3 linked regions of the Danio rerio genome follow. The main gene of each other region encodes a partner of the protein of the gene in region 3 in a complex. Links are inferred from orthologs where the notes say so. Each region holds a gene or a part of one and is shown on either strand. Other genes may lie near its edges. The genes, in order: eif2b1, eif2b3 and eif2b2.

Region 1 (3,659 bases), on a different chromosome or scaffold from region 3:
CGATGCTTGATTTGGATGTGAACTAGTGTGAACCGATGCTTGATTTGGATGTGAACTAGTGTGAACCGATGCTTGATTTGGATGTGAACTAGTGTGAACCGATGCTTGATGTGGATGGGAACTAATGTGAATCGATGCTTGATTTGGATGTGAACTAATGTGAACTGATGCTTGATGTAGATGGGAACTAATGTGAACCGATGCTTGATTTGGATGTGAACTAGTGTGAACCGATGCTTGATGTGGATGGGAACTAATGTGAATCGATGCTTGATTTGGATGTGAACTAGTGTGAACCCATGCTTGATGTGGATGTGAACTAATGTGAACTGAAACTGGATAATATAGATGTGGATCAATGTGGGTGTGAGCCTATGCTTGATGTGAACTACTGTGAACTGATGCTTGATTTAGATGTGAACTAATGTGAACTAATACTTGACATAGATGTGATTGTAAACCGATGCTTGATGTGCATGTGAACCGACTCCTGATGTGGGTGTGAACTGATGCTTGATGTGGATATAAACTAATGTGAAGATATAATTGATATAGATGTGAACAGATTCTTGATGTGAATGTGAAATGATGTGAACTAGTGTGAACCGATGCTTGATGTGGATGGGAACTAATGTGAATCGATACTTTATGTAGATGGGAACTGATGCTTGATAAGGTTGTGAAATTATGTGAACTAATGTGAACCGTTTCTTGATTTAAATGTGAACTAGTGCGAACTGATGCTTGATGTAGATGGGAACTAATGTGAACCGATGCTTGATTTGGATGTGAACTAGTGTGAACCGATGCTTGATTTGGATGTGAACTAGTGTGAACCGATGCTTGATTTGGATGTGAACTAGTGTGAACCGATGCTTGATGTGGATGGGAACTAATGTGAATCGATGCTTGATTTGGATGTGAACTAATGTGAACTGATGCTTGATGTAGATGGGAACTAATGTGAACCGATGCTTGATTTGGATGTGAACTAGTGTGAACCGATGCTTGATGTGGATGGGAACTAATGTGAATCGATGCTTGATTTGGATGTGAACTAGTGTGAACCCATGCTTGATGTGGATGTGAACTAATGTGAACTGAAACTGGATAATATAGATGTGGATCAATGTGGGTGTGAGCCTATGCTTGATGTGAACTACTGTGAACTGATGCTTGATTTAGATGTGAACTAATGTGAACTAATACTTGACATAGATGTGATTGTAAACCGATGCTTGATGTGCATGTGAACCGACTCCTGATGTGGGTGTGAACTGATGCTTGATGTGGATATAAACTAATGTGAAGATATAATTGATATAGATGTGAACAGATTCTTGATGTGAATGTGAAATGATGTGAACTAGTGTGAACCGATGCTTGATGTGGATGGGAACTAATGTGAATCGATACTTTATGTAGATGGGAACTGATGCTTGATAAGGTTGTGAAATTATGTGAACTAATGTGAACCGTTTCTTGATTTAAATGTGAACTAGTGCGAACTGATGCTTGATGTAGATGGGAACTAATGTGAACCGATGCTTGATTTGGATGTGAACTAGTGTGAACCGATGCTTGATTTGGATGTGAACTAGTGTGAACCGATGCTTGATTTGGATGTGAACTAGTGTGAACCGATGCTTGATGTGGATGGGAACTAATGTGAATCGATACTTTATGTAGATGGGAACTGATGCTTGATAAGGTTGTGAAATTATGTGAACTAATGTGAACCGTTTCTTGATTTGAATGTGAACTAGTGTGAACTGATGCTTGATGTGGATGGGAACTAATGTGAACCGATGCTTGATTTGGATGTGAACTAGTGTGAACCGATGCTTGATGTGGATGGTAACTAATGTGAACCGATGCTTGATTTGGATGTGAACTAATTTGAACCGATGCTTGATTTGGATGTGAACTAATTTGAACCGAAACTTGATATGGATTTGAAACCATGTGAACCTATGCTTGATTTGGATGTGAATCGATTCTTGATGTTTACTGATGTGAACTAATGTGAACCGATACATGATATAGATATGAGAGGATGCTTGATGAGGATGTGAAACGATATGAACCGATGTTTGATGTAAACCGATGCTTGTCCTCCTGCAGGTGAAACGATTCTGGGCCTGAGAGAGAACATGACTCAGGCCATTCACAGGCTGCAGGAGGCCGATTCATCCGTCGCCGTGTCATCTGGCGGAGAACTATTCCTGCGCTTCATCAGTCTCACATCACTGGAACATCCGGTCAGTTCAGCATTTCACTCCATCTAGCAGATCTGTTCTGTTTTTATGTAGAAAAAACTGTACTTCTAACTAGCTTACAGAATTTCAGCATTGCATTTTTACTGTTCCTAAATATCACCGACATTTTTAACAATGTGCAGGATAATGTACATCCAGCCAGTTGTACACCACAGAATAAATAACTATACACCAGCTGCTGATAAACCTGTCTGGCTTTAATCTGCGAGAACATCCGGCTGGATGTACATTATCCCTTACTTCAATATGATTTACGGATCATTTCCGTGATTCCTCTTGTACTGTCTTTGTTTTCTGTTCACCAGGATCTCTCCCAGTGTAAGAATGTGATGATCGAGCGAGGTGAACTCTTCCTGAAGAAAATCTCCCTCTCCAGGGGGAAAGTGGGTAAACTGTGCCACACCTTCATCAAAGACGGCGCTGTAAGTAGTCCGCTAAAGACGAAATGGCGTGTTGCTTTAGCATTATATTGCTCAAATGTGACCTTTAAGGAAATCGTTTGTTAGCATAGAGACACGATTGTTTGAAAATCTGCATTAAGGTCTAAATATGGAGAATATCACCTTTAAAAGTTGTTTAAGTTGCATATTACTAATCAAACATTGAGTTTTGATGTATTTATGGTAGGTAATTTGATTGAAGATGATCTTTACTTAGTACTGTCATGATTTTTGGGGTAATAGAAACATCTATAATGTTGACTCATGCAATGTTTTGTTGACTTTGCCTACAAATATACTAAATTCAGCTTGAATCACAAATCTGCTTTCCATGACTTGCAGAAAATCCTGACCCACTCCTCATCTCGAGTGGTCCTGAAGGTTCTGGAGAACGCAGCGGCTGATAACAAACGCTTCACAGTGTACGTGACTGAATCACAGCCCGATTCAGCAGGGTGAGTCTTCACGCTGTTAAAATATGTATATAGCTTAAGGGGGCTAATAATATTGACCTTAAAGTGGTTTTAAAATAATTGCTTTTATTTTAGCTGAATTAAAACAGGTAAGACTTTCTCCAGAAGAAAAAATATTATAGGAAATACTGTGAAAAATTCCTGAATCTGTGAAACATCATTTGGGAAATATTTGAAAAATAAAAAAACAACTTATTAAATCTGACTTCAACTTTATATATTAAAAAAATAATAAAGTAAAAATTCTATGGTCAATATTATTAGTGTATATAGTATCTATTTTTTAAGTGTTAATGTTTTATTCATGTTTTTTCCCCCTGTTTCATCATAGTAAACTTATGGCTGAAAAACTCCGCAAGCTCAGCATCCCAGTCACAGTAGTGCTCGACGCTGCAGTCGGGTGAGTTTATTACTCTGTGTTTTACAGTAGTCAGGCACTGCTTTCATTCCTGTAAAACCTACAGTGG
Region 2 (4,304 bases), on a different chromosome or scaffold from region 3:
TATATTTATATATATATATATATATATATATATATATATATATATATATATATATATATATATATATATGTATATATATATTTATATATATATATATATATATATATATATATATATATATATATTTAATTCAAGGGCTGCACGATATTGGAAAAGGGCTATTGATGGTTATTGTGTGTGTGTGTGTGTGTGTGTGTGTGTGTATATATTTATATATATATATATATATATATATATATATATATATATATATATATATATATATATATATATATATATATATATATATATACATACATACATACATACATTTAATTCAAGGGCTGCACGATATTGGAAAAATTTTGCATTGCAAAAAAATTTTTATTCTACGATATATATTGCGATATGAATACAATTTCACTAGATGAGTAGAATAACTGTTTAGAAAGAATTTATAATTTCAGATTGATTGGGATAATTCTGTAGTAGAGTGCATAAAATATAAGAAACAATCTACAAGCATAGATAAATTCAAAAATCTAAATATGCTAATTAAATAAACTGAATTTTATTTTAAAAAGTTAAAATGTCATCAGGTATAAAATAATTGAATATTCAAATGTAAGATAATAGTGCAAAGTATTTATTTTACAAACAGTTCGATAAAATTAATCATTATTAATATTTGAGAGTTGCAAATGGTAAATATTCTCATGCCTTTAAAAGCCTCTGAAAGTCGTAGGCCTCAAAAAACACTTGCAATAAGCTACATTATAATCCAGACTCAACATTACACATACTTGCGATGTGACTTATGCGAATGATCACATTGCGATATTGATCCTGAAACTATATATTGTGCAGCCCTACTTAATTCGCATGAAAAAAAATACAATAATAAATATAACCTAAAAATATAAATATAAATAACCAAAAAACACACCATCACAAATGCAGCACTACTTAAAGCTAAACTTAAACCCCATTTACTTAGAATAGCATTTGATGTTCAGCAGTTTAAATTAGTATGATTGTTTTATTGACATCATTGCTTTGATTTTGTTCTTCGTCATTGTCTGTGTTTTAATGTGTAATTTAATTTTACTGGTGATTGTAGTAAGGTGATTGTTTGATTGAATTACAGATGAAACCTACTTTATAATAATAAAAATAAAAATAATCTCTCAATCTCAATTAACTGAACATTTTAACTCGATTTTTTGAACTCATAGTTCACTGACAGGTTTTGTACAGTAAATATGCTCACATTTTACAAGTGAGAGATTTTTGAATGAACGGTGCTTTACTTGATTAAGATATTTACTATCTATGATTATTTACTGAACATCAGTGTTGAACAACTGAAATTTTTTCAACTAAGCTTTTCACTCATCATAGCACACATACTGCTGATGATGTGACAGTAAAAGTGATTTGAAATTAAAACACACATTGCTTAAAACGAACAGTCACTATTTTCTTATAAAAAAGTGAAAACAAATAACTTGCACTTTTGAAAACAAAATCAATTATTTTCAATGTTTTAAAAAGAAAATAAGCAGAATCTCTTCAGAATGTAACAACTTTTGTATATCATGTTATTAATATTTTAAACTGTATTTCTTGAATCGTCTGTAAACAAATATTTTAATGTGAATAATAATTTTATTGTAATAGAAAATACGCTGTCTCAAGGCTTCTCTGATGCAGCTTCCAATCATCGTCAATGTAATGCAAATGTGCGATCTGTAGTTACATTTTTCGAGAGGTGCGCGAGTATTCGTCCACTTAAAAGCTGCTCCAGACCATACCCATGCGTTCAATGCAAAAGTATATATCAGGCTTAACAGAGTAGGCTAACGTGACTCCACACACTGTAGGGAAAGTAATTGAAAAAAATTGACAAGAAAAATTTTGATCGATTATAGGTTCTGAATGTCGATTTCTATTACTTTTCAATTAATCGCCCTGCTCTATAATAATTAAAGAGGATATTTGAATACCATTTGAACCCATACTGTATTACAGATGACCAAAAAATGCAGAGCATATCAGTCATATCCACCAACACAATCTTTATAGGCAGACCCTAATTACAAAATCTAAAATAACAATATGAAAAAGTGTGTGTTAAATGCCGAGTTTACTAGATAACGGTGTTGAATATTGTACACCTCATACACTCAGCAGGTGACACTTCTAATGAACTTTGTTATCTGATAAGACAGTAGGTTTACCTTCAAATCCCACTCTCTCCAGCAGGTTAAGGGGGTACCAGATGAGGGGTTTGTTGCCCACAGGAAGCAGAGGTTTGGGGGTGTTATAGGTGAGATCCATCATCCTGGAGCCTCCACCGGCTGCCATCAGCACCGCCTGTAGCTCCATCCCGAACACTTGCAGAACAAAACAACACGTTTAGTCCACAAACAACAACAACACTAACAACAAAACAATCCAGCAAAGTGACAGACGGAGTATTATGTTCAATATATGTATTTCCTTGTCATGTTTAAGACATTACGCCTGTCAGGACTCTCATTTCATCATCTACATTCGTCAGCTGAGCCGCACGATGAAACATAACTACTTCTGAAGCTACTATTTATCGACGAGTTCAGAAATACACACACAGTCGACTTACCTGTGTTTATTATCAAATGTTTATAATGTGTAAAGTATCGAGTCCGTGCACGTGAAAGCTGCAGCACTGTAGCAGACGTTCATATGGATCAGGCTTGCCTCGCCGTCTTCAAATAAGTTCTGTTAAAACCGAGAGTTTCTAACTAGATAAATGAAAAGTTTAATAACAAGTGAAAACTGTCACAATGTTTAATCTCTGGCTGTCTGCAAAAAAACTATCAAGATTTCTGTATAATGACATAAGACCGTTACTTTGAAATGCGTCGGACGGAAAACACGACTCTAACTTTGGTTCCGCAGAGAGAATTGGTTCCTCTGTGTGAAGCAGAAAGAGAAAGCCTGAGGATTTCGATGATAATTTCGATTATTACTTGTATTTATCTTGATTTGATGTAGTTTGGGTATATGTTTGTAATGAACTGGATACGTATTCTTCTATTGTTGTTATATAGATGATTCAGATTGTGAATGAGGCTATTTGTTTTCCATTTTTGTAATTTTTGCTTGTAAAGTTCAATTCACGTTTATTTATATAGAGCTTTTCATAATAATTATTGTTTCAAAGCAGCTATACAAATAGTTTACCTAGTCTAAACTTTGTAAAATTATTATGTAGCATATTATTGCCCAGCCCTCTTCTTTGTATTTAATATTCATGGTTTTCAAAAACATTGATAAGAATTTGACATGTTGAAATTTTAATAAATGTGTTAAATCGAGACAATACATTTATAATGTATTAGTCATGCTCATAAGTATTAATTTTCCAGAAAAAAATTTCATTTACTGGGCATTTTAGCAGGTTTATTAAAAATATGCGTTGAATGGGCATATTGAATTTTATGATAAAGTATTTAGTTGTTGCTTTTTTTCATTTTATACTATATCAAACTGGGAGACACGGTGGCTAAGTAATTAGCACTGTCGCTTCACAGCAAGAAGGTCACTGGTTTAAGCCCTGGCTGGGTCATTTGGCATTTCTGTGTGGAGTTGGCATGTTCTCCCCGTGTTGGCGTGGGTTTCCTCCCAGTGCTCCAGTTTCCCCCTCAGTCCAAAGAAATACGCTATAGGTGAATTGAATAAACTAAATTGGCTGTAGTGTATGCATGTGAATGGATGTTTCCCCGTGATGGGTTGCAGCTGGAAGGGCACCTGCTGTGTAAAACATAAGCTAGACAAGTTGGCGGTTCATTCTGCTGTAGCGACCCCTGATGAATAAGGGGAATAAACAAAAAAAAATGAATGAATGAATGAATGAATGAATGAATGAATGAATGAATGACGATAACAAACACTATGGTATACTTTTTTTTTTAATTAATATAACAAGATAGTTAAATATGATTTATTCTTCCTTCATGTTTTGTTTTATTTTAAAAATACTTTTGCATAAAATACCCAGATATTTTTTTTTAATAGTTTTATATATCATAGGTGTCCCACATTAGGCAATGTCCAACTTTAGGCTCACCCTATTATGTTTAACCCTTTAACTGCCCCACCAAGAAAAACATTTTTGGATAGCATTTCTTAACTACTAATGTCTCTAGTTAAAACACTCAATGCATTTTTTCAACACGTTCCATAATTAAAAAAAAAAAGTCAACCTCTACCAAATAGTAGACATGTCGGTTTATGGTAAATGAAAATCTGAATGAAAAATCTGAATATATGAATTGTAA
Region 3 (3,659 bases):
ATGATTTAGGTCATTATAACTTTAATAAAATATAACTCTATTTTTAATATATACTTGCTCTGAGGGCCGTTTATATCGAAGTTATATCGTACTATATTGGTGTTTCGTGACGTAGTTTTTATGAGGCAATTAGCCCAATGCTGAACCTCCAATCTGGAGGACCAGGACATACACGACGGCCAATTTAGCTTACTCAATTCACCTATAGTGCATGTCTGTGGACTGTGGTGGAAACCTGGAGCACCCAGAGGAAACCCACGCCAACACGGGAAGAACAAGCAAACTGCACAATGTCACTCCACACAGAAATGCCAACTGAACCAGCCGGGACTCGAACTAGTGACCTTCGTGCTGTGAGGCGACAGCGCTACCCACTGCGCCTGTAATTTTTAATATAACTCTATATTGTATAACTGCTTTTATAACTCTATGTAAAAAGATCATCTTATTTATTGTTTTTTTATTACAAGTTAATTTGCAGTGTTTCTTTCAAATAGAGTTGCATATTATTTTAATAAATCTAATTATTAGTCTAATTATTTTAGTCTAAATTTGCATTTTGATGTTCATTGTTTGATTTTTGAATCATTTACATTTACATTTAGCAGACGTTTTTATCCAAAGCGACTTACAAACGAGGACAAGGAAGCACTTTACACAACTTTAAGAGCAGCAATGAATAAGTGCTGTAGGCAAGTTTCAGGTATGTAAAGTGTAAGAAGCAAAACATTAGTTATTTTTTTTAATTATTATTATTTTGTAGTACAGTTAGCAGTGGAGCCAGAGAGGCAATTGCAGATTAGGAAGTGAAGTGGAGACTAAATAGTTGAGTTTTTAGTTGTTTCTTGAAGACAGCGAGTGAACTCTGCCGTTCTGATGCAGTTAGGGAGTTCATTCCACCAACTGGGCAGATTGAGCGTGAGCGTTCGCGAAAGTGATTTCTTCCCCCTTTGGGATGGAACCATGAGGCGACGTTCATTCACAGAACGCAAGTTTCTGGAGGGCACATAGATCTGCAGAAGTGAGAGCAGATAAGAAGGAGCACAGCCAGAAGTCGCTTTGAATTTTATGCGATCAGCAACTGGCAGCCAGTGCAAACGGATGAGCAGCGGAGTGACATGTGCTCTTTTAGGTTCATTAAAGACCACTCGTGCTGCTGCCTTCTGTAGAAGCTGAAGAGGCTTAATAGAGTTAGCTGGAAGCCCCGCTAGTAAAGAGTTGCAGTAATCCAGTCTGGAGAGAACAAAAGCTTGAACAATCACTTTAGATATAGTTTATATAGTGCATAATTATATAATTACATAGTTTACTTAATTTTTTTGTCTTTTTAATGTATTTATTTGTTCTTTTTAAATCTTATGCTTGTTAATTATTTAGTTTTAAGTTTTTTGACAGATCCTCCTCTTTTAAGGTGAACTGATGGAGATCATCCGGAAGGAGGGCAGGAGGATGACAGCAGCTCAGCCATCTGAGACCACAGTCGGTAACATGATCCGCAGGGTGCTGAAGATCATTCGAGAAGAATATGCCAGGTCAGATATTAAGGCAGTATCTGCAAAAATCACAGCTAGACCACTCATTAAAACAACACATATAAATGGCCCACCCTGCATAATATTTAATAAATAAAATATGTAAAAATCACCATACTGTTTTTTTCATGTGGATGAGCTGGAGATGATATGTTGTCTTCAGGTCCAGAGGCAGCAGCGAGGAGGCGGATCAACAGGAATCTCTGCACAAGCTGCTGACGTCTGGAGGATCCAGTGAAGACAACTTCAGACAGCACTTCGCTCACCTCAAAGCCAACGTCATCGAAGCCATCAATGAGCTGCTGACAGAGCTGGGTGAGGATCCATAGAGAGGCTATATATTCTCCTAATATTTGGGAGGTTTTGTGTTTTAGCCCACATAAAAAAAACACTGCAGTGATTTACAGTAAATACTATAGTGTTTTTGTACTATACTAAGTGTATTATACTGTGCATAATAGACTATTTACTCTGTTGATGAGCACTATAGCATACTGTAGTATTACCTATAGTGAACTGATAAACTGTAATAAATGCAGTAGTTTTACCAGAGATGGGTTGCGACTGGAAGAGCATTCGCTGCGTAAAAACTTGCTTAATAAGTTGGCGGTTCATTCCGCTGTGGCGACCCCGGATTAGTAAAGGGACTAAGCCGACAAGAAAATGAATGAATGTATGAAATACAGTAGTGTACTTTAGTTTTTACTACAGTAATATATGGTGCATTGTAGTTTACTATACACTCACCGGCCACTTTATTAGGTACACCTTACTAGTACCAGGTTGGAGCTTCTTTTGCCAGAACAGCCTTGTGGCATAGAGTACTGGAAATATTCCTCAGAGATGTTGGTCCATGTTGAAGTAAATGTGGCGCTGATGTCGAGTGTTATTGTGGTGATTTGTGTTTTCAGAGGGCACCACAGACAACATCTCCATGCAGGCGCTGGAGCACATTCACTCCAATGAGGTGATCATGACCATCGGCCGCTCCAGGACTGTGGAGGCTTTTCTGAAAGACGCGGCGCGCAAACGCAAGTTCCACGTCATCGTAGCCGAGTGTGCGCCTTTCTGTCTAGTGAGTGCATGTTTATCATGGTCATTTTGGAAAAACACTGTTAATTTTTACATTACTGGCAAAACGGCAGGGTTGTTGTTGCTAGAAGGGATACAGCTGTGGCCGGAAGTTAACAAGAATTATGATTATTAAATTGGCCATTAATTGTACTTTATTAAGGGGTGACACTGTTCGTGTTAGCACTGTCACCTCACAGCAAGAAAGTCACTGGCTCGAGTCCCAGCTGGGTCAGTTGGCATTTCTGTGTGGAGTTTGCATGTTCTCCCTGGGTTTCCTCTGGGTGCTCCGGTTTCCCCCACAGTCCAAAGACATGTGCTACAGGTGAACTGAATAAGCTAAATTGGCCAGAGGGTGTAAGTTTAAATGTGACAGTGTATGGGTGTTTCCCAGTACTAGGTTGGATAAGTTGGCGGTTCATTCCACTGTTGTGACCCCTGATGAATAAAGGGACTATGAATGAATGAATTTTATTAACGCCTACCCCTAACTCACCCCTAAATCCAACCAACACAGTAATGTTACATCAGTAATTATACTGAATATTATTTATATTATTATTCCTACAATTTTTCATTGGATTTTATTTTATTAATGCCTACCCCCAACCCAATGCAAAAAATAGTATTATTGTTGCACAGTGTCAGAAATTATGCTGTATTGATGCAAGTATCCGCAGCTGTATCCCTTCTAGATGTTACCGACAGGCAGCCCTGAGCGAACAACAGTCATTGGACAACAATATACTTTATAATAATTATATAATATTCAAATATTAATATAAAATATTTGATAACACTTAATATAACATATTAAATGTAATTAAACTCAAATGCAGCATTGCATTGTTATTATTATTAAATTAATGCTATTTTCTTTCATAATTATTTAATATAATACTATAAAGTGCAAAAATAGTAAACATTTAAGTATTTAATATTCAATAATTCAACAGTCTACATAAAAACTACATAATATTAAAATGAAATTTTATATTAACATGTATTTTTAAATATTAAGTTACATTAAATTAGAATTAAATGTAGCATTGCATT

Evidence for each region.
Region 1: the proteins of eif2b2 (region 3) and eif2b1 are in contact, whole or in part, in a cryo-EM structure (PDB 7F64), measured with the Homo sapiens proteins. The link is inferred for Danio rerio from reciprocal best matches to the Homo sapiens genes EIF2B2 and EIF2B1. Residues at the interface, in NP_055054.1 of Homo sapiens: Glu107, Ser108, Leu109, His110, Leu112, Leu113, Thr114, Ser115, Asn242, Phe278, Asn280, Glu281, Glu282, Ser334, Tyr337, Arg338; in NP_001405.1 of Homo sapiens: Leu71, Arg74, Phe75, Leu78, Arg96, Leu99, Phe100, Arg103, Lys110, Thr117, Phe118, Lys120, Ser232, Phe235, Leu283, Asp287, Leu288, Val290, Thr292, Ser294, Ala295, Asp298, Glu299, Leu300, Lys302, Leu303.
Region 2: eif2b2 (region 3) and eif2b3 share a complex: the UniProt entries of both Homo sapiens proteins name them as parts of the translation initiation factor 2B (eIF2B) complex. The link is inferred for Danio rerio from reciprocal best matches to the Homo sapiens genes EIF2B2 and EIF2B3.

Annotation. Positions count from the first base shown.
Region 1 is NC_133180.1:75,662,940-75,666,598, reverse strand, and holds part of eif2b1 (translation initiation factor eIF2B subunit alpha), read left to right. Parts: intron 1-2,124; coding exon 2,125-2,261; intron 2,262-2,584; coding exon 2,585-2,701; intron 2,702-3,061; coding exon 3,062-3,174; intron 3,175-3,523; coding exon 3,524-3,592; intron 3,593-3,659.
Region 2 is NC_133177.1:37,042,145-37,046,448, forward strand, and holds the start of eif2b3 (translation initiation factor eIF2B subunit gamma), read right to left. Parts: upstream 2,884-4,304; 5' UTR 2,624-2,883; intron 2,376-2,623; 5' UTR 2,368-2,375; coding exon 2,220-2,367; intron 1-2,219. UniProt on the Homo sapiens protein: Acts as a component of the translation initiation factor 2B (eIF2B) complex, which catalyzes the exchange of GDP for GTP on the eukaryotic initiation factor 2 (eIF2) complex gamma subunit.
Region 3 is NC_133195.1:49,881,855-49,885,513, reverse strand, and holds part of eif2b2 (translation initiation factor eIF2B subunit beta), read left to right. Parts: intron 1-1,411; coding exon 1,412-1,532; intron 1,533-1,695; coding exon 1,696-1,847; intron 1,848-2,443; coding exon 2,444-2,607; intron 2,608-3,659. UniProt on the Homo sapiens protein: Acts as a component of the translation initiation factor 2B (eIF2B) complex, which catalyzes the exchange of GDP for GTP on eukaryotic initiation factor 2 (eIF2) gamma subunit.